Linked DNA regions of Canis lupus familiaris. The protein of the gene in region 5 interacts with the protein of the main gene of each other region in a biochemical or structural test. Links are inferred from orthologs where the notes say so. Each region holds a gene or a part of one and is shown on either strand. Other genes may lie near its edges. The genes, in order: RAD52, RPA1, RAD54B, EVL, RAD51 and FBH1.

What was found.
Region 1: the proteins of RAD51 (region 5) and RAD52 form a complex in vitro, tested with the Homo sapiens proteins (6 studies listed by BioGRID). The link is inferred for Canis lupus familiaris from reciprocal best matches to the Homo sapiens genes RAD51 and RAD52.
Region 2: the proteins of RAD51 (region 5) and RPA1 form a complex in vitro, tested with the Homo sapiens proteins (2 studies listed by BioGRID). The link is inferred for Canis lupus familiaris from reciprocal best matches to the Homo sapiens genes RAD51 and RPA1.
Region 3: the proteins of RAD51 (region 5) and RAD54B form a complex in vitro, tested with the Homo sapiens proteins (2 studies listed by BioGRID). The link is inferred for Canis lupus familiaris from reciprocal best matches to the Homo sapiens genes RAD51 and RAD54B.
Region 4: the proteins of RAD51 (region 5) and EVL form a complex in vitro, tested with the Homo sapiens proteins (2 studies listed by BioGRID and IntAct). The link is inferred for Canis lupus familiaris from reciprocal best matches to the Homo sapiens genes RAD51 and EVL.
Region 6: the proteins of RAD51 (region 5) and FBH1 form a complex in vitro, tested with the Homo sapiens proteins (2 studies listed by BioGRID, with this or other methods). The link is inferred for Canis lupus familiaris from reciprocal best matches to the Homo sapiens genes RAD51 and FBH1.

Annotation. Positions count from the first base shown.
Region 1 is NC_049248.1:3,104,268-3,107,767, reverse strand, and holds part of RAD52 (DNA repair protein RAD52 homolog), read right to left. Parts: intron 2,115-3,500; 5' UTR 2,097-2,114; coding exon 2,013-2,096; intron 916-2,012; coding exon 814-915; intron 183-813; coding exon 89-182; intron 1-88. UniProt on the Homo sapiens protein: Involved in double-stranded break repair. Plays a central role in genetic recombination and DNA repair by promoting the annealing of complementary single-stranded DNA and by stimulation of the RAD51 recombinase.
Region 2 is NC_049230.1:45,977,608-45,981,398, reverse strand, and holds the end of RPA1 (replication protein A 70 kDa DNA-binding subunit), read right to left. Parts: intron 3,049-3,791; coding exon 2,962-3,048; intron 1,519-2,961; coding exon 1,414-1,518; 3' UTR 501-1,413; downstream 1-500. UniProt on the Homo sapiens protein: As part of the heterotrimeric replication protein A complex (RPA/RP-A), binds and stabilizes single-stranded DNA intermediates that form during DNA replication or upon DNA stress.
Region 3 is NC_049250.1:39,795,963-39,799,462, reverse strand, and holds part of RAD54B (DNA repair and recombination protein RAD54B), read left to right. Parts: intron 1-396; coding exon 397-594; intron 595-2,374; coding exon 2,375-2,656; intron 2,657-3,500. UniProt on the Homo sapiens protein: Involved in DNA repair and mitotic recombination. May play an active role in recombination processes in concert with other members of the RAD52 epistasis group.
Region 4 is NC_049229.1:68,864,021-68,867,520, reverse strand, and holds part of EVL (ena/VASP-like protein), read right to left. Parts: intron 1,946-3,500; coding exon 1,879-1,945; intron 1,788-1,878; coding exon 1,725-1,787; intron 1-1,724. UniProt on the Homo sapiens protein: Ena/VASP proteins are actin-associated proteins involved in a range of processes dependent on cytoskeleton remodeling and cell polarity such as axon guidance and lamellipodial and filopodial dynamics in migrating cells.
Region 5 is NC_049251.1:8,127,047-8,131,050, reverse strand, and holds the start of RAD51 (DNA repair protein RAD51 homolog 1), read right to left. Parts: upstream 2,801-4,004; 5' UTR 2,544-2,800; intron 1-2,543.
Region 6 is NC_049223.1:29,097,280-29,100,779, forward strand, and holds part of FBH1 (F-box DNA helicase 1), read right to left. Parts: coding exon 3,461-3,500; intron 1,583-3,460; coding exon 1,483-1,582; intron 1,389-1,482; coding exon 1,267-1,388; intron 1-1,266. UniProt on the Homo sapiens protein: 3'-5' DNA helicase and substrate-recognition component of the SCF(FBH1) E3 ubiquitin ligase complex that plays a key role in response to stalled/damaged replication forks.

The DNA.
Region 1 (3,500 bases), on a different chromosome or scaffold from region 5:
ACATCCTCACCCACAAAATACTCTCATCAGAAATTAGTATAAAAGTAAGGGAAATGAAGAAGTCACCATTGCCAGGAAATATACTTACCCACATTCTGCTGTGTGATAGAGTGTGCCCAGCCATTATAACCAAACATTTCATTGGCCAAATTAATTACCCTGTGACCCTCGATGTAACATACCTGGAACAAGAAAGTTAAGGGGAAGAAAAAAAAAAAAAGCTTGTTAAAATTCCTTGCCATATTTAAATAAGAATCAAAATTCACTTAATTTATTCCTTACCAGTTTTTTGTTTTTGTTTTGTTTTTTGGGTTTTTTTGTTTTGTTTTGTTTTTTTGGCAAAACTGCCCTTTAACATTCCAGGGAAATTCTCAGTGAACTTATTTCAAAGATCTTCCAGAAGGAACCAGTTAGAACTAATGTTTGTCTCAGGGGAGGGACTAGACTCAGAGGGGAAAGATATCCACTCACTTAGCAGTTTCCAAAAAAGTACAAGTCTCAGGTTGATATACATTACAGAAGACCAAAAATATACACAGAAGTTAAATTTAGAAGCAAAAGGCAAAAGAAACATTTTTAAAAGATGGTATAAAAATCCCAAGAAGGCAGGCATGGAAGTCTCAAGACAAGACTTGGGTCACTTCAAATGACAATGCTGGCTGGAACCCATCCTCTCCCAAAGACACGAGGGAACATCTAGCAACAGTGAGCAAGAGACCTGAATCCATGAGGACCCAGAGAGGGAGCTGTTGAGATCATCTGAGTAGCCAGCTATTAGGAGCACCCACTTTTCAAGCATATCAATTCTCCTACCCTCTGGCCTCCTCCAGACATGCGGCTACTGATGTATTCTGGGCCCAGCCTCTGCCTCAGAGCATTCTGGATGGCCTGGTACTCTTCTGCTGTGTACTGATACTGCAATTCAGAAAGGAAAAATTAAATTGACATTTCTCCCATTCCTACATCAGCAAATCTCCAATTTTTTGGTCTCCAGACCCTTTTACACTCTCAAAAAGTATTGAGGACCCTAAGAGCTTTTGTTTATGTGGGTTATAACTACCAATGTTAGGAATTGAAACTGAGAAACCTTTAAGGCACACCTTCTTCCATCAGCCATCCTAGCAGTATCACAACAGGCTGCGCATGGCCTGGCAAGTCCCATTCTTCACTCGTGTGAAAAGGAAAAGGAAAAGGCAAGAAGTACTTTAGTATTATTATGGAACTCTTCTTGACCTCATGGACTCAGAAAAGGTCTTGGGGACTCCCAGGGGTCACAGGGCCACATGTAGACAGGCATCGCCTTAGGTGTCACTACCATCCTTACAAAACTTCCTCAAGCCACAACTGGTAAACTGAAACTTCCTGCTTCAGAGTCTGTGTGTGACATTTATGCCTGCGAGGGAGTAGGGGAGACCCACCGTCCTCTCCAAAGTTGTATACCTCTTCTCTGCTTCAACAATTTCCCACCCTGTATATGTAGCTAAATATACTGCTACTAGTTTTGATTTTTGTCCCCTTAGTAATTTTTTCCTTCCCTATTTAAATGAAATAAATCTACATCAACAGATCTCTGGTAAAGACAGAATTTGAGTGGACAAAGCAAGAATCTCTTTGATAAGCACAGACTATCTCCACAAAGAATATGACATGGGAATCTTTGGATGCCTCCAATAAAACGAACTGGGTGAAATGTGAACAGGAGTGATGGGGAAATAAATGAGATTTTTCATTCACAGTCTACGTTTCATTTTGAGTGTTATACCATATGAATATGTAATCTAGCCAAAAAAATAAACAAAATATAAATCTAAATGTAATCTCCAGTACTATTTGTCTTTTGATGTCAAAGTTCCAAAATGGCCTGAGAGTTCATCAGACTCACAAAATACTGCACCTAACAGGAAAACCACTGACAATAAATAGCTTCTACATCTATGACAATGCTCTACAAATTACATTCTCCTACCTTTTCACTTAACCTCATTCTTTCCAGGTATGATAAACACAGTTACCTGTCCAAAGCATAATACAGAGTTGCCACCAGCAGAAGGATGGCTGCCACGGCCTCCAAGAACTGCTTCCTCAGCCCCAAACATGTTGATTTTGAGTAACCTCTAATAAAAACAGAAGATTAAAAAAGATCTCAAAGAATGGTAAAGGTAAAAAACAAGAACCTCCACTTAAAATCAGATTAAAGCATCCATATGCAGTATTCTACAAGTTTTTTATTTACTTAACGCTTTATTTATAAGCACTGCCCCAATCAGACTAAGTTCCTCAGTGCTTAGCAATCACTGAAGATCCTTTAGAATCCACTTCCATCTTTGTTAAAATTTTTCTAGAGTTGGGGCACCTGGCTGGCTGAGTCAGTAGAGCATGGGAAGCCTGATCTCAGGGTCATGAGTTCAAGCCTCATGCTGGGTATATAGCCTTCTTAAATACACAATAAAAATTTTGCTAGGGCAATTGTATTGTAAGGGCAATTGTAAAGGTGATTTTTATAATCAGAATGTATAACTGTAATGTTTATAATTGGAAAAGTCAAAATTACAAAACACACCAAGGGAGAGTAACCAACCAACTGATTACTCCCTATCATATGAGCAACATGACCTTGGCCTCAGTGAGGTCATAAAAGAAGTATAAGCCAGGGGCACCTGGGTGGCTCAGTCAGTGAAGTGTCTGTCTTTAGCTCAGGTCATGATCTCAGGATGCTAGGATAGAGTCCCCTGGCTGGCTCCCTGCTCAATACAGAGTCTGCTTCTCCCTCTCCTTCTACCCCTCCCCCCAATTCATGCTCACTCATGCTCTCTCTCTCAAATAAATAAAATATACATAAACAACAAAAAAACTAAAAGCCACAATAACTGATCTGCTTTCCAGGACCTAACAAGCTAGCTGGTAGAAGACTCATAGACAGGAAAATTAAAGAGCAAGAGAAGGGGCACCTGGGTGGCTTAGTTGGTTTAGCATCTGCCTTCAGGTCATGATCCTAAGGTCCTGGGATCAAGTCCCACATCAGCCCCTGGAGAGGCTCCCCTTTAGCAAGGAGTCTGCTTCTCCCTCTCCCTCTGCTTCTCCCTTTCCCCCTTATGCTGTCTCTCTCTCAAATAAATAAATAAAATCTTTAAAAAAAATAAAAAGCAAGAGAAGGCAATACGGTGACCCTAACATTCAGGAATAAAGCATTAGACCAGTGAGGTCTCTTGCAGCATCAGCATCACCTGGGAGCTTATTAGAAATGCAAATCCTCAGGACCCCTGGGTGGCTCAGTGGTTGAGTGTCTGCCTTTGCCTCAGGGTGTGATCCCAGAGTCCCAGGATCAAGTCCCACATTAGGCTCCTTGCATGACGATTGCTCCTCTCTCTGCCTGTCTCTTATGAATAAATAAATAAAATCTTAAAAAAAAAAAAAAAACAGAAATGCAAATCCTCAAGTCCTACCCTAGACCTTGTGGACCTCAGAAACTAGAGGTGAGCTCCAGAAGTCAATGGTTGCCC
Region 2 (3,791 bases), on a different chromosome or scaffold from region 5:
TGGATTAAAAACCAGGTCCTCCCACTGCAGGCTGACTGCAACATTGCCTGGATGCTTGGGGAGAGATGTGCAGCAAATGCCAAGTGGTGGGTCGCAGCAACCAGAAAGATAATTAATATGATTAGGAACACACAGGGCAAGCATGCTCTTGCTGACTTAAAAGCCTAGTAGCATAATTACTGTTTTCTTACTAGCTCACTGTCTGTACACATTTCAAAGCCTGGTTGGTGTTAGACTGCTGTGTAAACATCAATAAAATCCCAAAGTGCCAGATCATCAGCATTCTTGGTCACAATGGCTTTTTGTTTTTAGTGTTTTTGTTCTTTTAAAGATGCATTTGAGGGTTGCAAACATTAGGATGAATGATCTCTATGACTTGGACTAATCTTTGAGTCTGTAATGAGTTAACATCTCCCCCAAGTGAACATTTATTATGAAGGCTAATTAATTGCTTCCCAGTTACAAGAACCCTTTGCATTCAAAGAAAGTAGAAAGTAGGATTCACACACAGAGAACATTCTGTTTATTTAAACAAAGCAGAGGAAACAAAGGGCTCCTTCCTTCAAAATCCCTTCTATTTAACATAGCTTCAATCAAGAAATGAAACATATAAATGCAAGAAATATGTACAGGTAGAAAAAAATGTGCATTCACCAGCCAAAATGCAACATTAATTGAAACGAAAACTAAAACAATGCTTTGTAGTTGCCCGGATGTCCCTGTGGGACAGCAAGTCAATGCTTATCAGCCTTCCTCAGACGAGACAATTTTGATTAATATCAGACCCATCTGACTTAGTCTATTAAACCCTGAAGGAGGGATATTCTTCAGATATAAAAGATAAGTTTTTTGATTAATAATTCTACCCTATTGCCATCCAAGTATTTACAACTATGTGGCACCTCTAGAAAGAGCGAAACTTTGAATTCTAGAAAGACACACTTACTGAAGTACAGGTTCTGCACGACCAATTTTGGGCTCTCCCTCCTGAGAAGGAACCCAGGTCTCAAGGGTGTCATCACTGGAGAAGCTAGTTACATAATTTATTTCACCGTCTGCAAAGTTAGGGTCAATTACTTGTGACATAATTTCTGATTGAAGATAATGAAATCTTAGTAAAACTGACAAAAGCCTGAAGACAGAGGGAGAGAATGGCACTACACTATCCACCAGCTGACCTGCCAGGTCTGACAGTTTACCCGACAGTCGCCTGAGCACATTTCTCTTTGCCTGTGTCAACAGGTACCAGTGGGCTCCAAGCTGCACTGATGGGAGGAAAGCGCTTTGTCCCCTGTGGAGAGGCCCTCTGCTCCACTGTGTAGCTAACGTGGAAATGTCCCACAGGAGTGGGAAAGAATCGGTTTCATTTCAGCTCTGTTTTTTCAAACTTCTGCCCCATCAGCTCTGGTCTTCTCACATTAGTGCGTTTCTCCTGATGTTCATGATCAGCCTTCTACCATATTCTCTGTAGTCCACGGGCTTCACGTCCATCACAGTGGCCTTAATTCGAGACTCATCCTTTGAGAAGAGAAAAGCAGTTTGTGAATGGAGGAAAGCCTGTGGCATGGAGCAGTGGTGCTAACCCCCTTTGCTTTAGAGGTTTCAATGATCTCAGCGAGAGAAAACACAAAGACATGCTGGATTTAGTGTTTAGTAATTCCAATACAGAAAAAAATCATGAGTGAAAGCCAAGTTCAGAACTTCTGGAGCTGGGAGAGAGGACAGAAGCCTCTCTTCATTCAGCAGAGTCCCCTTTTTGTCCTTCCCTCATGCTCCCAGGTCTCAGAAACCTCAAATCCAAATGGGATGGGCCTTAGCAGGTTTATTTTCTTTGCAGAGGGGGGAAATAGGAGCCCAGAGAAGATAAGTGACTTGCCTAAAAGCCACACAGCTAATTCTGAAAACAAAAGTAGAGGAGGAAGACTTGGTCTGGGTGCCATCCCAGCTCTGTGGGAGACCACCTCTGCACCTCACCTTCCCTGTCCACATCATGAGAGGACTGCATGACCTTTCGAGCTGTCCCCTGCTCCCACCTCAACATGACACTCTAGCACAGACACTTGACTTGACACTACCTCATTCAAGGTCTACAGAAACAAACAAACCTGGCAGGAACTAAGGTTAAAGTGTAATGATAAAACAGAATGAGGAGACCCTAAAACAAGCAGAGAGGTTTTCAGAACTCTCCCTCTTTGCTCATTCATCAGGACTGAACAGTGCCTTTATTTTAGAGGCAGGATGAGGTGATGCCCAGAAAAAGTGCACAGTCTAATTCAGGGGTTCACGCACTGTCATGTATATGTGCTCAGTAATTACGACAAAGTGCCATTTCTAAGAATGGAAAAGAGCAAATCTCTGAAGCTGGGGGCTGGAATCTTAGTTCTGCCATTTGCTGGCATATGCAAAGTACTTATTCTCTACATGCCTCCATGTTTTCAGTGGTAAAATGGGGCTAACAGTCATTCCTCCATATGGGTTACTGCCAGGATCAAGTGAGATAGTAGATGTAAAGGGCATAGAATAGTAACTGGCAGACAGTAAGTGCTCAATAAATGCAGTTACTGTAGGACTATACAATTATATGATGCTATAGGCAACTTGAATAAGTTTTAAGGTTATTTTAACTTTGTTCGGTCTTTGTTTTGTATATGAACCCTAGGGCCTAAACCTCACAGGAGTCCACCAAACATCTGACCATTCTTTGTCACTACACCAACAAAACCCCCAGGTTGTAACCGAAGAACCATGCAGCATTTCCCTCTAGATGCTTGACACTAAACAAAATACTTGACCTCTCTAGGTTCGTTTCCTCAGTGCTGGGAAGATTCAATGAGTAATAAATGCAGGGCGGTAAGCACACTGTAAGCAATTAAGTGACAGCTAACACTGTACTGTTGCTGTGAGTGACAAATAGTAGCTTCCCACTGCTAACCCTTCTGCAACCCAGCAGACCCCACTTACGTTGTAGGTCTCTAGTTTCACCCTGATCCTGAATGTGAAAGATCGGAAGTTGGCATTCTGGAAAACTTCCTCAAATGCTTGCTCGTTCTGCAAAAACAAATGTAGAACTTTAGGCATGGAAGCTACCAGACCATTTGAAAATATCCACTAAGATTCTTTTTTAAAAAGATTTTTATTGGGATCCCTGGGTGGCGCAGCAGTTTGGCGCCTGCCTTTGGCCCAGGGCGCGATCCTGGGGACCTGGGATCGAATCCCACGTCGGGTTCCCGGTGCATGGAGCCTGCTTTTCCCTCTGCCTGTGTCTCTGCCTCTCTCTCTCTCTGTGTGACTATCACAAATAAATAAAAATTAAATAATAAATAAAACATTTAAAAAAAATAAAAAGATTTTTATTTATTCTGAGAGACAGGCAGAGACATAGGCAGAGGAGAAGAGGCTCCCTGTGGGGAGCCTGATGCGGGATTTGATCCCCCGGACTCCAGCGGACTCCGGGATCATAACCTGAGCCAAAGGCAGATGCTCAACCACTAAGCCACCAAGGTGCCCCCCTCCATTAAGACTTTTGAAGGGGCACCTGGCTGGCTCAGTCAGATCATGCAACACTTTTTCTTTTTAAAAATATATATTTTATTTATTCATGAGAGACACAGAGATAGATGCAGAGACACAGGCAGAGGAAGAAGCAGGCCCCTTGTAGGGAGCCCGATGCAGGACTTGATTCCCAGATCTGGAGATTATGCGGAGCTGAAGGCAGATGCTAAACTGTTGAGCCACCTAGGCATCCCAAGCATGCAACTCTTGATCTCGAGATTGTAGGTTTGAGCCCCATG
Region 3 (3,500 bases), on a different chromosome or scaffold from region 5:
AACACATTCAGGACATTTACATTCGCCTACAATTGGGCAAAATCATCTAACACCCTATTTTATAATAAAGTGTTGACTGTGTCATGTAATTTATTGAATAGTGAGAGTGAAAAACAGAATGGTTGTATGGGTACAGAGTGGTTGTGAGTGTATCAATTGCTTACCCTCATGATTTCATGGTAGACAGGGTAGACAGGCATTAATGCTAGCTAGACCTGACATTTGAATTTCTCAGTTCATAAAATACTAACAGGAGTATGATCAAATACTCTTTAATACTTACTAGTACCACTTGATTTTCTTGTGCATTTACTTTTGTTCAAATGACACTACTCCTTAAAGTCATCTCTAATAATGTGGTTTTTATTTTTATTTTATTTTATTTTTTTATTGTAGTTCACCCAGCCCCTAAAGAAATAACAGTGTCTAAGGGACAAGAAGAGGAAGAACCTGATAGCCTAGTTAAATATTTCAGTGTTGTTTGGTGTAAAGCTTCGAAGAAAAAACACAAAAAGTGGGAAGGTGATGCTGTTCTCATTGTAAAAGGAAAGTCATTTACATTAAAGGATTTGGAAGGCAAAGACATTGGAAGAGGTATTGTGATATTATGTAATGTTTATGATTTGGACTACTATTAGTATATATCTGAGGTTATGTAATTAAAATGTGGGATTTTATAAGGGTTAGATTAGGATGCTCTTTAATTGACTTGCATGTCAATTAAAATTATCTCATGATAATCTGACAGTCTATGTACACTAGCTCAGTTAAGGAAATCCCATCTCATGGATTCATTTTCTCCAAAATGAAATAGTTATCTGCAGTCATTTATATATATTTTTGAGATTAAGCAGTTTGTCTTACTGTACTTCTACTCCCCCCTCCCCCTTGCTAAATGATTAAAGTCAGAAAAATGTTGATATCAGGTGTGGAATATTATCTAATTTCAATGATACCCAACAAAATTTTGAAAAAAAAAAAAAGGGAAATGGCTAGGCATGATCCAGATTAATACATCTAAATTTGAGGTTATCGTTATTTCTATTTTAACATGTTACCAGGATGATTGTACTAATACAAGTTAGCTCACAAATTCAGAATGCTTAACACCAACCATGTTTTTTGGCATTGTCTCTTATTGTTCAATTTGAATATGGCCCATTACTATAAAATCTGTTCTATACATTCATTCATTTAATAATATCATACTTTATAGTTTTTAGTAACTGTTAAGTGCCAAGCATTACGCTAGGAGTAAACATTCAAAAAATGTATATAAATTATGGTTTAGTGGGGGATAGGGCAATGTAATTGATAATTAGGAAGCAATAAAATAATTGTTTCATTGAGAATTTTACTCCATGCAGTAGGAGATAGAAGGACCATTTAGATCTGCCTAGGAGGCTGGGGAAAGCTTCATAGGAATTATTGTTTAAGGTAGTGTTTGAAAAATAAATAGTTCTATAGGGTATGAGAAAGGGACATACATAGGAGGGAATAGTATATACAAAGGCACAAAAGTGGGAAAGAGTTAAAATTACTAGTTCAGTGTTTCAGGAGTGTAGTATGTGAAGGTCAGTGCCAGAGTGATGAGTTGAGGCTGAACTGAATGATCTGCAACTGAATTTTCTTTTAAAGATTTTATTTATTTATTCATGAGAGACAGAGAGAGGCAGAGACACAGGCAGAGGGAGAAGTGGGCTCCCTGCGGGGATCCCGATGGGGGACTTGACTAGATCCTGGGACCCTGGGGTTATGACCTGAGCTGAAGGCACACGCTCAACCACTGAGCCACCCAGATGCCCCTTAATTTTGTTATAAAAATATTGAGGGGCGCCTGGGTGGCTCAGTTGGTTAAGCCTCCAGCTTTTGGTTTTGGCTCAGGTCACAACCTTAGTGTGGGATTGAGCCCCGCATCAGGCGCACTGGGCAAGCCTGCTTTAAGATTCTCTGTCTCCCTCTGCCCCTTCCCACCTTCCTCCCTCTCTCTCTCTCTCTCTCTCTCTCTCTCTCTCTCTCTCTCTCCCTCTCTCTCTCTCTCGCTTTCTCTCAAAAAAAAAAAAAAAAGTTGCATGCTCTACCAACTGATCAAGCTAGCACTCCTAGCTATATTTTCAATAATTAAAAAAGGTCTTGCTTTCTCTAAAGCTTGGCTAATTTTCATAGCTTTATTATTTATTACTTCTGATTTTTCTGTGTTTTTTAAACAAAATGATAAATTATGTTTTCATCCTGGGTAATGGGTTATACAAGGCTATTTGCCTTCAAAGCACAGTTTTCATTCTGTGGGGTTATAGGAAGGTGACTGTCGTATCACTAAGTTATCTTAGAGTGTCAGTAAATTAAATTCACATTCTCTCTTCTCATTTTAAAGGCATGGCATATAAATTGAAAGAGCTTGAAAAGATTGAAGAGGGCCACAGAGTGATGATTGGTGGAAAAGAAGTAGAAATCATGGGTATAATTTCTCCGGATGATTTCAGCAGTGGCCGATGTTTTCAGCTTGGAATAGGAAGTCCTGCTATCTCAAGTTCTTCTCAAGCTGCCAAGAAGTGTTTCTCTAACCCCTTCAAAAGTGTTTGTAAACCAAGTTCAAAGGAAAATAGATTGGGTGGTTTCCAAGATTGTAAACCACGCCATGACCCACATGCACCAAGTAAGATGTAAAACATAATTTGAATATTCTGTTTTTACTGTCAAAACATATTTGGCCTGTGAATTTAAAGTTTAAGATTTGTTTAAAGTTTTCAGATGAAAGTATGTATTATTCTTCAGGCATACAACTGACATAAGGAATAATGTTGAAGTTGTATAATATAGTTGGGGAATCATTTCATAAATAAATGTATAATTCTAAGAATATAGTAATAATGTCACATTTGTATTAAAGGAAAAATATACCAATTAGAGATTGTATACACACAAACATACATGTATAAGATTTTGAATAATATCTGACATCTTAGCAAGCAGAAATATTAATTCATGAGTCAAGATTATGTTTATATTTCTCTTTTGACAACTGTATGTCTTGATCACATGCATTAGTGTATTAAAATGTTGAATGGTGATACTTTTTTTTTTTTAAAGATTTATTTATTTTCAGGTAAAGAATTTAAATTATACCCATGAGAATCCAATTTAATGAGTTAATTTTTTTTAAAGATTTATTTATTTTCAAGGTAAAGAATTTAAATTAAACCCATGAGAATTCAATTTAATGAGTTAATTTTCACATTAATGAATCTAATTTAAAAAATCACATTAAAAAATAACACCTCTCCTGTTTTTTTTTTTTTTTTTTTCGATTTGATTTGTTTGCCTGACAGGGATTTCTTCAATGCCTTTTTTTGCATTGAGGGCAGAGGTAAACTGTCATCAGAGATCTTATTTGGTGAGGAGGCAGACAAGTAAATTTGAATTATAAGGCAGTAGATATCAAAGTGGGTGGGGTATAGTGTAGGCTGCTTTCAGATTAGTAAAATAAAAAGTACATAGAG
Region 4 (3,500 bases), on a different chromosome or scaffold from region 5:
CTCTCTCTCAATAAATTAAACCTTAAGAAAAAAAAAAAAAAGAAATCCAAGAAGAACATGCTCCTGCTCCTCTCCTGGCTGAACTGAAGAGAGGCCAGTGTGGTTCTGAAGGACACTAAATAGCTTTGGATCCTGGTGGGGAAGGAGGTGCAGCCTGAGACCCCCGGCCCACATGTCCGTCTGTGGGGTCGGGGCCTGTTCCAGCAGCCATTTCTGGGGCCACCTGGACAAACTGTTTCACCTGTCGGGGCTCTGGTTCTCCCACATGCACACCTGACAGCTCCCCCGGGGTCACCCGAGGCAGACTGTGGCCGCCTGCCCCCTTCGGAGCCCTCCGTGGAACTGGAGAGCACACTGGTCTCAGAGGTGGAGAGCCCCATCCCAAGTGGGAACACTTGGCAGCCCACCATGCTCCACCTGCAGGAAGTGCTGGGGGGCCACAAGCGCACCCCTGGCCACCTCACCTCCTCCCTCCTCCCGGGGGCCCCTCCTTTGGCTCCGGCCCCCTCACAGCCAGAGAGAGTGCTGGTCCACCACGGTGAGCACATACAGAATGCAGCCCAGCCCTCCAGCCACGTGACCCCTGCCGGCCCCTCCCCACCTGCTGCCACCTGCTAGCCACGCTGGCCAGCTTCCTGTTCTGTGAACTGCCGGGTTGGTCACAGGGCCTCAGCACTTACCATCTCCAGCTCGGAAGACTGTCCCCACGCTCTTTGTAGGGCAGGCTCCTCCTCATGCAGGTCAACTCAAATGCCACCTCTGAGAGGCCTGTCCCAGCCCCTGTGCTAGAGCACCTCGGTCCCCAGCATGGTCTGCCATGCGACCCTCTGTGTTCCACACAGCACCTCTCAAACACACGGCCGCCTCGTGCATGGGCCTTCCCAACAGAAAATGGGCTCCTTGCAGCAGGGACCTGCAGGACCCAGCTCAGAACCTGGCTGACCCGAGACCTCACTCCTGAGGGCCGTGTCTGTCCTCAGCGCTCCGGCCGGAGCCGGGCCCGGGCCCTCCCCGACAGGCTCGCTCCACTCTGCACGGCCGGCTCCGATGCTACTGCTCTGAGAGCGGCTCCCCTGCAGTCTGTGCCGGGCAGTGGCGACCCTTCCTAGTACGGGTTCCAGAGACCTGCAGCTTTGGGCTGCGCTCGGCTCCGGTGACTATGGGGCCTCTCACTTTTGGGGACACCTCAGCTTTGAACATTCCATCCTGCTATGCACACCAGCTTTTGGTCTGGGAAATATGGTCTCCCTGGGGGAAGACGGCTGTGTGCTGTGGGCAGAGGAGGGAGGGGAAGGAGGAAGGGTGCCGGCCGGTCCCGGGATCAGTTGAGCTGTGGGACTGTGTCCAGCTGCTGCCCACTAATCGCTGTCACAAGACGCAGGGCTCACAGACCTCTTTACGGGATCGAGGAGGGGAGGCCGGGAGGGGCCACCGGCTTGCCCGATGTCACAGTGAGCCCGGAGCACTGTCATGGGAGTCCGATGTCAGCCTCGCCTCACTGCCCTCCCCAGGCCCCAGTCTCTCCCTCTGGGAGGGGACAGCCAGAGTAGGCGTGCACAGCCCCTCACATCTGCGTCCCTCCAGCCCTGCCTTCCCCAGGTCTGAGGGAACAGGCCCACCCTTTCCCAGAGCAAACTGTTAGGTGACAGGACAGGGGGCGGGTTTGGGAGTGTTAGTCACGGGCAGGGGACAGAGGAGGCCCCCGAGACGGGGATGTTCGGTACCTAGAGTGAGGCTGCGCCTGAAGGGGGCTCTTAGCTTCGGGGCTCTTGGCCACAGACGGGGTTCTACGGCACGGAATGAAACAGACATGTGAATTGGCCCGCCGCCCGCCGTGGCCCCGCCGGACTCGCAGTGCCGCCTCGTGGGGCAGCTCACCTGGACAGCAGCGAGGACACAGGCTTCTCCACCGAGTTGCTCCGCTCCCAGGGCTTCCGGCCAGTCTCTGTCAATTCATACCGTGGACAGGGAGCCTCAGAGCTGGGAGACCTCTCGGTGGCCACGTTCCCCCCACAATCCCAGGCAGGAGGCCCCCCAGTGCTGAGGGTGAAGGGCTACCCCATCAGGAAGGGCTGCTGCAGGTGGAGCTGAAACCTGGCCCCTCGTTCCCAGTCTCCCCACTCAGGACACAGCTCCCATTCCCTCGACCTGGTTGACCTTGACTTGTGGCCTGGTTCTGAGTCCTCTCACCACAGCTGGGTTTCATCTTGATGGGGGAGCCTCTCAATCATGACTCCCAGAGTCGAGTCATGACTCCAGCAAAGGGCTGGGGGGGTACAGAGGGAGCCCTAGCCGGGATGCTCTCAGGTCAGCCTGAGCGCCACGTATACACCTGCTGCCCAGACGTGCCCACCATGTCTCCCCTGCACCCTGCAGCCGGCCCCTTCCTGCCCCGGCCCTCAAAGCTACTTTCTTTTTCCATTTTCTCTTTTAAGTGGTGTTAAATTAATGTTTCATTTTACTTCAAGAGATTTTTGGACTGAATTGAATTCCTAGACTTTGCAGGATGAGCGTAGAGGCAGGAGAAAATCCCTAGAGGAAGCAGGGAAGCCACCCAATGGGTGTGAGGAGAGTGTCCCCAAAGCCACACTCCAGGGCAGATGCTGGGCCCACAGGCATAGGGCCTTGGGCAAATCATGTCACCTCCTAACCTGGGAAACAGAACCATTCACTGGGGTGTGCAGTGTTCATGGAGTCATTCACCAAGAATCCATGGTGGCAGCTCTCAGGAGAAGAGGACACAGGGGCAGTCTCACGGGGCAGGCAGGCAGCCACACCAGCAGAGTGGCAGGACCAGAGGCTGGTGCAACAACTGGCCAGAGCCTCCCTCTGCTGAGGGGGGCTAGCGGGGTTCCCCTCTGCCTCTCCTACCTTGTTCGGGAGCACAGGCCCTGTGTGGAGCAGATGCTGAACAAATGTTTGTTGAACGACTGACCAAGCACAGTGGCTTCTTCCCACCCTGCAGCCTCCAGGAACTGTCCTAACTCCATCCCTGTACCCTGGGGCTCACATTCTGGGGCTCACACGGGGCTTCTGAGCAGGGCTGGGACTGTTTTTCCTCTAACGCATAACTTTGGAAGCATCGCCTGGTAGACTTTCTTTGAGCACCACAATGAGCAAGACTCACGGGTGATCCCTGTTATACGTGCCACAGGTGGCGTTTCACAGGGAGACAGGAGTGTGGCAGGTCCGTAATCCTCCTCAGAGCCCTGGCCTGAGGCCAGGAACCTGAACCCCAGATGCAATGCCCTCCTTGTCTCCGTGTGGGAAATGAGAGGGCTGGGTGGGGGGTTATGGTCTGGCCAGCCTGATGCCCTTGGGCTGTCGGCACAGGTGGCCACGTCAGCATCTACTCTGGATCAGTGTGGAGGCTCAGGGCTTTCGGGTGTCAGGGAGACCAGCTAATGCCACCTCACTGGCCCTCACTGCTCATCTGTACAGTGAGGCGGTTGGGTTGAGTCATCTTCCTGGAGGGGGCCCCTCCTGCTCTAAGACCTTGT
Region 5 (4,004 bases):
TTTTTTTAAGATTTTTTTTTTTTTTTTAATGAGAGAATGAGAGAGAGAGAGAAGCAGAGACACAGGCAGAGGGAGAAGCAGGCTCCATGCAAGCAGCCCGACGTGGGACTCGATCCAGGGTCTACAGGATCAAGCCCTGGGCTGAAGGTGGCACTAAACCGCTGAGCCACCAGGGCTGCCCAGAATAAATAAAATCTTAAAAAAAAAAAAAAATTTAAACACCTCCCTTCATAATTTATGAAGAAGATGGAATTACAGAGAATGGAAAAAGGATTTTTTTTTTCAATAAAAAGTGCTAGGTTGATGGGAGAGCCTTACAGAATAAGAAAAAGAACAAAAACAAAATAAAACACTGCACATACAGAAGAAACATCTGTTTCCAATTCGATTACAGATCTAAATATAAGAGGTAAAACAAAGCTTTTGGAATATAGGTGAATGTTTTCATGACTTTGGGATAAAACTTTCTTAAAGCAACAACGAAAAAAAAGACTGAAAAATCGGACATTTAAACTTAAAACTTCTATCCATCAAAAGACACTATTAAGAAAATGAAGTCAAACTACAGGTGGGAGACAAAATATTTACCATATATACAACTAAGGGCTGATAATTAAAATATATAAAGAACTTCAAATCAGCAAGAAAGGCAACCCAATAGGGACACTTGGATGGCTCAGCGGTTGAGCATCTGCCTTTGGCTCAGGGTGTGATCCCGCAGTCCCAGGATCGAGTCCCACATCGGACTCCCTGCATGGAGCCTGCTTCTGCTTCTCCCTCTCCCTCTCTCTCATGAATGAATAAATAAAATCTTAAAAAAAGGAAAGGAAAGGAGAGGAAAGGAGAGAGGGAAGGAGAGAGGGAAGGAAAGAGGGAAGGAAAGAGGGAAGGGAAGGGAGAAAGGCAACTCAATAGAAAAACAGACAAGAGATTGGAACAAGTACTTCAGGATAGAAGATGTCCAAATGGGCCAAAAACGATGAACCAATGCTCAACCTGACTAATTATCAGGAAAATCAAAATTAAAACCACGAAGTATTACTATATGCCACCAAAACAGATAAAATTTTAAAAGATTGACAATATCAAGTGTTGGCAAGCATGTGAAAAAACTAAACACTCATACACTGCTGGTGTAAATGTAAATTGGTAGCAGAAAACTGGCAGTAGGGATGCCTGGGTGGCTCAGCGGTTTAGCACCTGTCTTTGGCCCAGGGCATGGATGCGGAGTGTCGGGATCCAATGCCACACCGGGCTTCCTGCATGGAGCCTGCTTCTCCCTCTGCCTGTGTCTCTGCCCTTCACTCTCTTTCATGAATAAATAAATAAAATCTTTAAAAAAAGAAAACTGGCATTAAATGTGGAAGTTGAATATAGACAAATGCTATGACCCAGGAATTTCAACGCTGTATTACTAACCAACTGAAAACCATACACGTTTGTACCAAAACATACGCAGGAATGTTCTCTGCAGATTTTCTCATTTAAAAACTCAGAAACTAGAAACAACCCAAATGTCCACCATGGGCATGGGCAGAATGAATAAGGAATTCAATACAGAAACTAAAAAGAACTATTACTATATGCAAAAATAAGTACGAATCTACAGACAGAATGTTGAGCAAAACCAAACACAAAAATATACATAATATGGGGAAACTGGGTGGCTCAGCGGTTGAGCATCTGCTGTCGCTCAGGTCATGATCCCGAGCTTCTGGGATCGAGTCTCGCAGCAGGCTCCCTGAAGAGCCTGCTTCTCCCTCTGCGTCTCTCATAAATAAATGAATAAACAAAACCTTTTAAAGATAGATAATATCAGTTACACAAAACTCAAACACAGGCAAATTTAGTCTTTGGTGTCAGAAGTCAATACAGAGGTTACCTTTGGAGAGAACAGGGGATGTTGGGGTGCTGACAACGTTCTATTTATTGACCTGAGTAATGACTGCACAGGTATATTCTTTTTGAAATCAGAGGCGTATACTATACACTTCTGATTTGTATATTCTTCCATACGCATATTACACTTCACTTTAGCAGTCAAAAGAAACCACTTCACTACAGATCATTCCCCAGGCATCATCACACGAACGGCCTGAATTAGCTAATGAAAACGCCTTTTAGGAAATTGGAAGCTGGTACTCCGTAAGCAAAGCAGGGTGTAATGGAAAGAGGATTAACCAGAAATCCGGAAACCCTGGCCCCGACAGAAACAGCTGTGACGTTAAATCACAACACCTCTCTGGATCTCGGCTTTCCCGCCGCCCCCACCCCCCCACCCCCAAACCGGGTGTTGAAAATGAAGGCCTCTGAGGTTCCTTCTAGCTCTGGAGCCTGGGGACCACTTCAGTTTTTGCCACAACGAGCCCCGACGGTGGGTTGGGCCCGGGCATGACCCTGCTCCGCCCCGCCAACTCCGGTTTCTCACTTGGCGCAGAGGGGCCCATAAGCCGGCTGCCGGCGGCACGGGCTCCGCCCGGTTCGGCTACTGCGGGGACGCACCGGGAGGCAGGAGGGGCCGAGTCTACGCCTCACACGCTCACCTCGGTCCACAGCGCTCCTCACTGCCGGGCTGCGCGCTCCGACTTCTGTCCGCGGGTCCGGTCCGCGCACGACTCTGGACGGGCTCTGGACTCCCTCCCTTGCTGCCAAATTTTCTACTCCCTTTTTGCCGCCTTCCGCACACAACCCAAGCGAGCTTCAGCTCCCAACGACGCCCCTAAGGGCGCGTCAGTCTCCTCAGGCTGGGTCTCAAACCGCAGAGCTCCCTCCGGGGAGTGTTTGGAGATCCCGCCAAATTCTCCGGCTGGGTCACGCCAGCGTCAACGTAACGTCTCCCCGCCCCCTCGGCCCGGAGGTCTAGCCCGCTCTGCGGCTGCTCGCGAACCCTAGTTGGGTCCAAGGAACTTGGTCTTGCCTCATGTGAGGCATTTGCCTCTTCCCTTTACCCCTAAAAACTAATTCACAATTTGGGAGTCGCCGCTTCCTTCTCTTTTACCAGACCAAGGACTACAACTCCCAAGAGGTAGTGGGGTGGGTCGGAGACTCCATCTCCCAGCAGGCACAGGGTCGCACACCACTTTAGCGCCTCACCCCTGCTGGGGGAAGGTCTGGCTCTAGAGAGCTGCTCTCGATTTGCCTCTTTAGTTTCTAAACCTGGACGTTTAGTCTGAGCTTCCGATTTCGTCAAATTCCCGGAGCCTGGGGTTTTCCTTCCAGGCCCCTGGAGGTGGTAGAGCTGAGATGGAACTGGAAACAGCTAACGAAGGGGAGAAAAATGGCTGAAATATTAGTCAAGTCTTGGTACTTGAGATTTGGAAGACTCCCGAGGGCAGGAGACACTGATTTTGAGAAAGTAAACCTTGTTTACTGGGAAGTTGGACCTGTGTGTGACTCCGGTTTTAAAGCGTTAATGGGGTTTCCTGGGCAAAGAAACGGAGATGGGAGACTTAGAGCACTATGGGTATGGAAATAACGTGGTCAAGCGATAGAATTGTCTGATGAAGGAGGAAAAGTGTCCTAGAGACGCTGATACTGGAAAATTAACATTTCATTCAGGTTATGAAGAAGCTTAAGGCCATGTGTGGAGCTTCAGTCTTTATTCTTTAAGTAATGAGGAAATCATTAAAAATCTTATTTTTTTTTAAAGATTTTGTTTATTCATGAGAGACACCCATAGAGGCAGAGGGAGAAGCAGAGGAAGAAGCAGGCTCCCTGGGGAGCCCAATGTGGGACTCATCCCAGACCCTCAGATCATGAACGGAGCCAAAGGCAGGGGCTCCACGCTGAGCCACTGAGGCACTCCTCATTGAAAGTTTTTGAGGGGATCCCTGGGTGGCGCAGCGGTTTGGCGCCTGCCTTTGGCCCAGGTGCGCGATCCTGGAGACCTGGGATCGAATCCCACATCGGGCTCCCGGTGTATGGAGCCTGCTTCTCCCTCTGTCTATGTCTCTGCCCCTCTCTCTCTCTCACTGTGTGCTTATCATAAATAAAATTAAAAAAAA
Region 6 (3,500 bases), on a different chromosome or scaffold from region 5:
TATCACAGCATAGCCCCTTCTACCTAAAAGCACATGCCAAGCACTGTCCAGGACCCCCGCGCAGAAGAAACCCGTGACTGAGGCACCACCCTCCAAGGACCTGTCATCATTTGGGGAAGAGACATAAAAACCGCTGACATCAAACAGAGACTGAAATAAGCCAGCACATATCGTAGTTGGAGAGCAGATGTGATCGAGAGTGCTGCCACATGCTTCAGGCGACACGTGGGTGTGACAGAGGGACCACAACCACTTACTGTCTACCATGCCCCACGTGGGCCACACTCCAAGAGTGCTATTTTCTAACAATAACAAAAAATGCTTAAACTACGCTATAACCACTAGATGAAATACTGTAGTCGTTCACGTAGAAACATGAAAGAAAAGATGCTTACATGTGGAGTAAAAAAAAGAACACATTTTTAGGTACATTATAATTCCAATTATGTAGAAATGTGTGTCTATAAAGACACAGACATGAACAGCAAAAGGGAAAATTGTTATCTGAAATACTGAGATTGAGCGTGAGGTTTTTTTTTTCCTTTTAATTTCCAAAGCTTCCATAATTTGGCTGGATAATCTTTATCAATTAAAAAAAAGAGAAAATTCAGAACATCTTTTGATTATGACTCACTGACTGTATATACCGAGTGCCCACACACAGGAAGCCCTCAAAAACACTGTTTTTCATAAACAGAGTGAACATCTCTTAGTCATGTAACTTTGCTTTGAAGAGTCAGAAATGTCACACATGTGTCACTTAATCCTAACTTCCCCGGGAACCAGGTAAAGGCATTAATCTTGTCTCAGAGATGGAGAGAATGAGGCACACCGAAGTGGTGACTTGCCACAAGCCACACAAAGTTAGTGACAGAATCAGATCTAGAACCCAGGTGTCCACACCCTCTACGCTGGAGCCCACTAGCGCCTCCCAGCTGTGTTGGCAGCTCCCTTGTCCTTATACTAATGAACACCACACACCACAACACTCGCAGGTAGCCGGCCGGCAGCCTCATTTGCAGAGCCAAAAATGAGAAGGGTGTCAGTGTTTTAAAGAACAGAGAAAAGGATCCTCAGTCCTTGCTGGTTCCTCATAAGAATGCTAACATATCGGAACAGCTAGGGGGAAAGACCTCAGTCATGGTGCAGATGGTGCCCCAAACCCTAAATGCTTGCTTGTGTAATAATCCTAATGAAGCTGAATGCTTTCATTGGCTGCTGGGTTTGTGTCTGTGCAGGGAGGAGTCGGGAGAGATTTACTCTTACCCCAATCAGATGTATCCTCGCGGGGACTTCTCCTTCCGTCACCCGCACAGCCTCATCAAACACATTGGCATTGGTCCGGGACAACAGGGCCACCTGCCCCTTGGCGTCACCTCTAATGCCACCTGTTGGGAGAGAGCACAAACTCTGTGGCAAATCCAAGTAAAGAGGAAAACTAACTTTTGTAACAAATAAATGAAGAGTAACTGAAGGCCTTACTCTGGTGGTTTCCTCCAACCAAAGTCTTTTTCCTCACTCTCTTGCAGACATCCAAGATGGTAGCTCCCACGTACGCTATTTCCACGCCAAATCTGAAACTCTGTGAGAAAATGACGGAACAAAAGGAGTCAACAAGCCCTCCCTGAAGTAGGTTCGCCTGTTTCTGTCCCCGCAAAGACCCTGCTTGTTGATTCCTGACTCACCCTATCTGGAAAGTGGATTTGCAAATTCCCCACTGTAAACCCGCTCACAAGGAATCGAAGAATCTTGCCAATCAGACCATCGCTGACTTGAGTTCTAAGCTTTCAGAAATTGCAGCTTTCACCCTGAAACCCTCCAGTTACCTCTCTTCTTTTACCCTTTACCCCCACATCCAGATCTGGGCGATCCTCCCACCAGAGGGTCTATGCTCTTTTTCTCACCACTGCTACCATCTCAGCTCAGCAGCCCAAACTCCATGCCTCACCCACTCGGTCTCTCCCGCCCTCTTGCCAGATGACTCTTGCCCACATACTTTCATCAGGCCACACCCTTGCTACAAAAAAGGAAGAGCAGCACGTGAGGAAAACGGCAGTACATGCACTCTGAACATCCCTCACGGCCCGAACAGCCTCTTCTCCTCTCATTCCCCAAGACCAGTGGAAAACTTAGCTTTTAAGCAAATCTACCCTTCCTTCCAAATCAAATCAAATGAGAGTGTCAATTATTCAAAAGATGGAGGGAGGGCAGGAGGGTTTCTCATCTCGCCTCTGAGCCTCCCTCACCGTTAATTTAAAACCACTGCCCCACACGCCAGCCCCAAGTATCGTCACTCTCTGAGCCTTCCCTGGATGCCCCCTGCCTTGGCACATGGCCAGTTGTTCTCTACCCTTCAAAACGTGGCCCCACACCCACGTCCTTGATCACTGCAGCTGGAAAGACACCCTCGTCTCCAATCTCATGGTACTTACAGCCCTTTGCCATGTACTAAGGACTTAAAGTAATAAACTGCTACGCGCTCTGGTGAACATTGACAATACTAAAGAAAACATGAGCCTTTCAACAAATAGCACTTTGTTGCTACAGAACCATTCTGAGGGAGCCATGACCCAAAAAATAAAATGAAATATCCACGAGTCCACACTGATATAAATAAATGATCGAATAAAGAAGTAAGTGGGAGAGAAGACAAAAATCTTCTTTGTAGAAGAATTCTAAATAGTTTACGGGGCTACCCCAGCAGCCTCATGCGGAAAGGTATGGGCAAGGGGAGGGTCGTTACGGCTTTCTCAGACAACCAGGGATGCCACGAGGTGTCACGCATACACGAGTTTTCCAAATTTCTATTTCACTTGAAAGCAAGAATTTTATCTTTGGCAACAAACATTTGTCAGTTGTTTTCCTGGAAGTCACAGCTCACTTCCTTCATTTTTGAGAAAATGCCAAGTACCCAAGTCTGTCAGCTGTTCTCTCGAGTACCAACATTAAATACACACAAAAGCAGCCAGTTGAGCTCACAACTCAATCACAAAAGTGCTCTTCGTCAGACAGCCAACACACTTCCGTCGGCCCCTTATCCCACAGAATACTAGAGACACACCCAAGGGCTAGCAGTTCATCATGTCTGCTGGAACATCGGAATGTTCTGGAGTTGAACCTCTTTTGTTCGTTGTACCCTGAGTGCGCTACAAGAAGAACACTGTGACAGCCGGCACCGTTTGGTGCCACCACCTTGATTCACGGGAAGGCATCAGCGGTGCAAATGTGAACACAGTGACAATGGCACATGCCGTTGTAAAAACAGTTCTGACTTTGCAGACCCCCTGACAACCACAGGGCACCACTGCTTAGAAGCGAGGATCCACTACATGCTGTGTGCCGACTAGACAGCCTTGCACGGCGCCTGGCCCCCACTAACCACAGAAAAACGAGGGTGCGGGGGAGACCACAAAGCTTGCTTCTACAGTTCTGGGGACTCGGAAGCAGAGAGAGCTCTTACCTGTGTGAGATAGAAGACGTGCGTGTGAGGGACTGTAAAC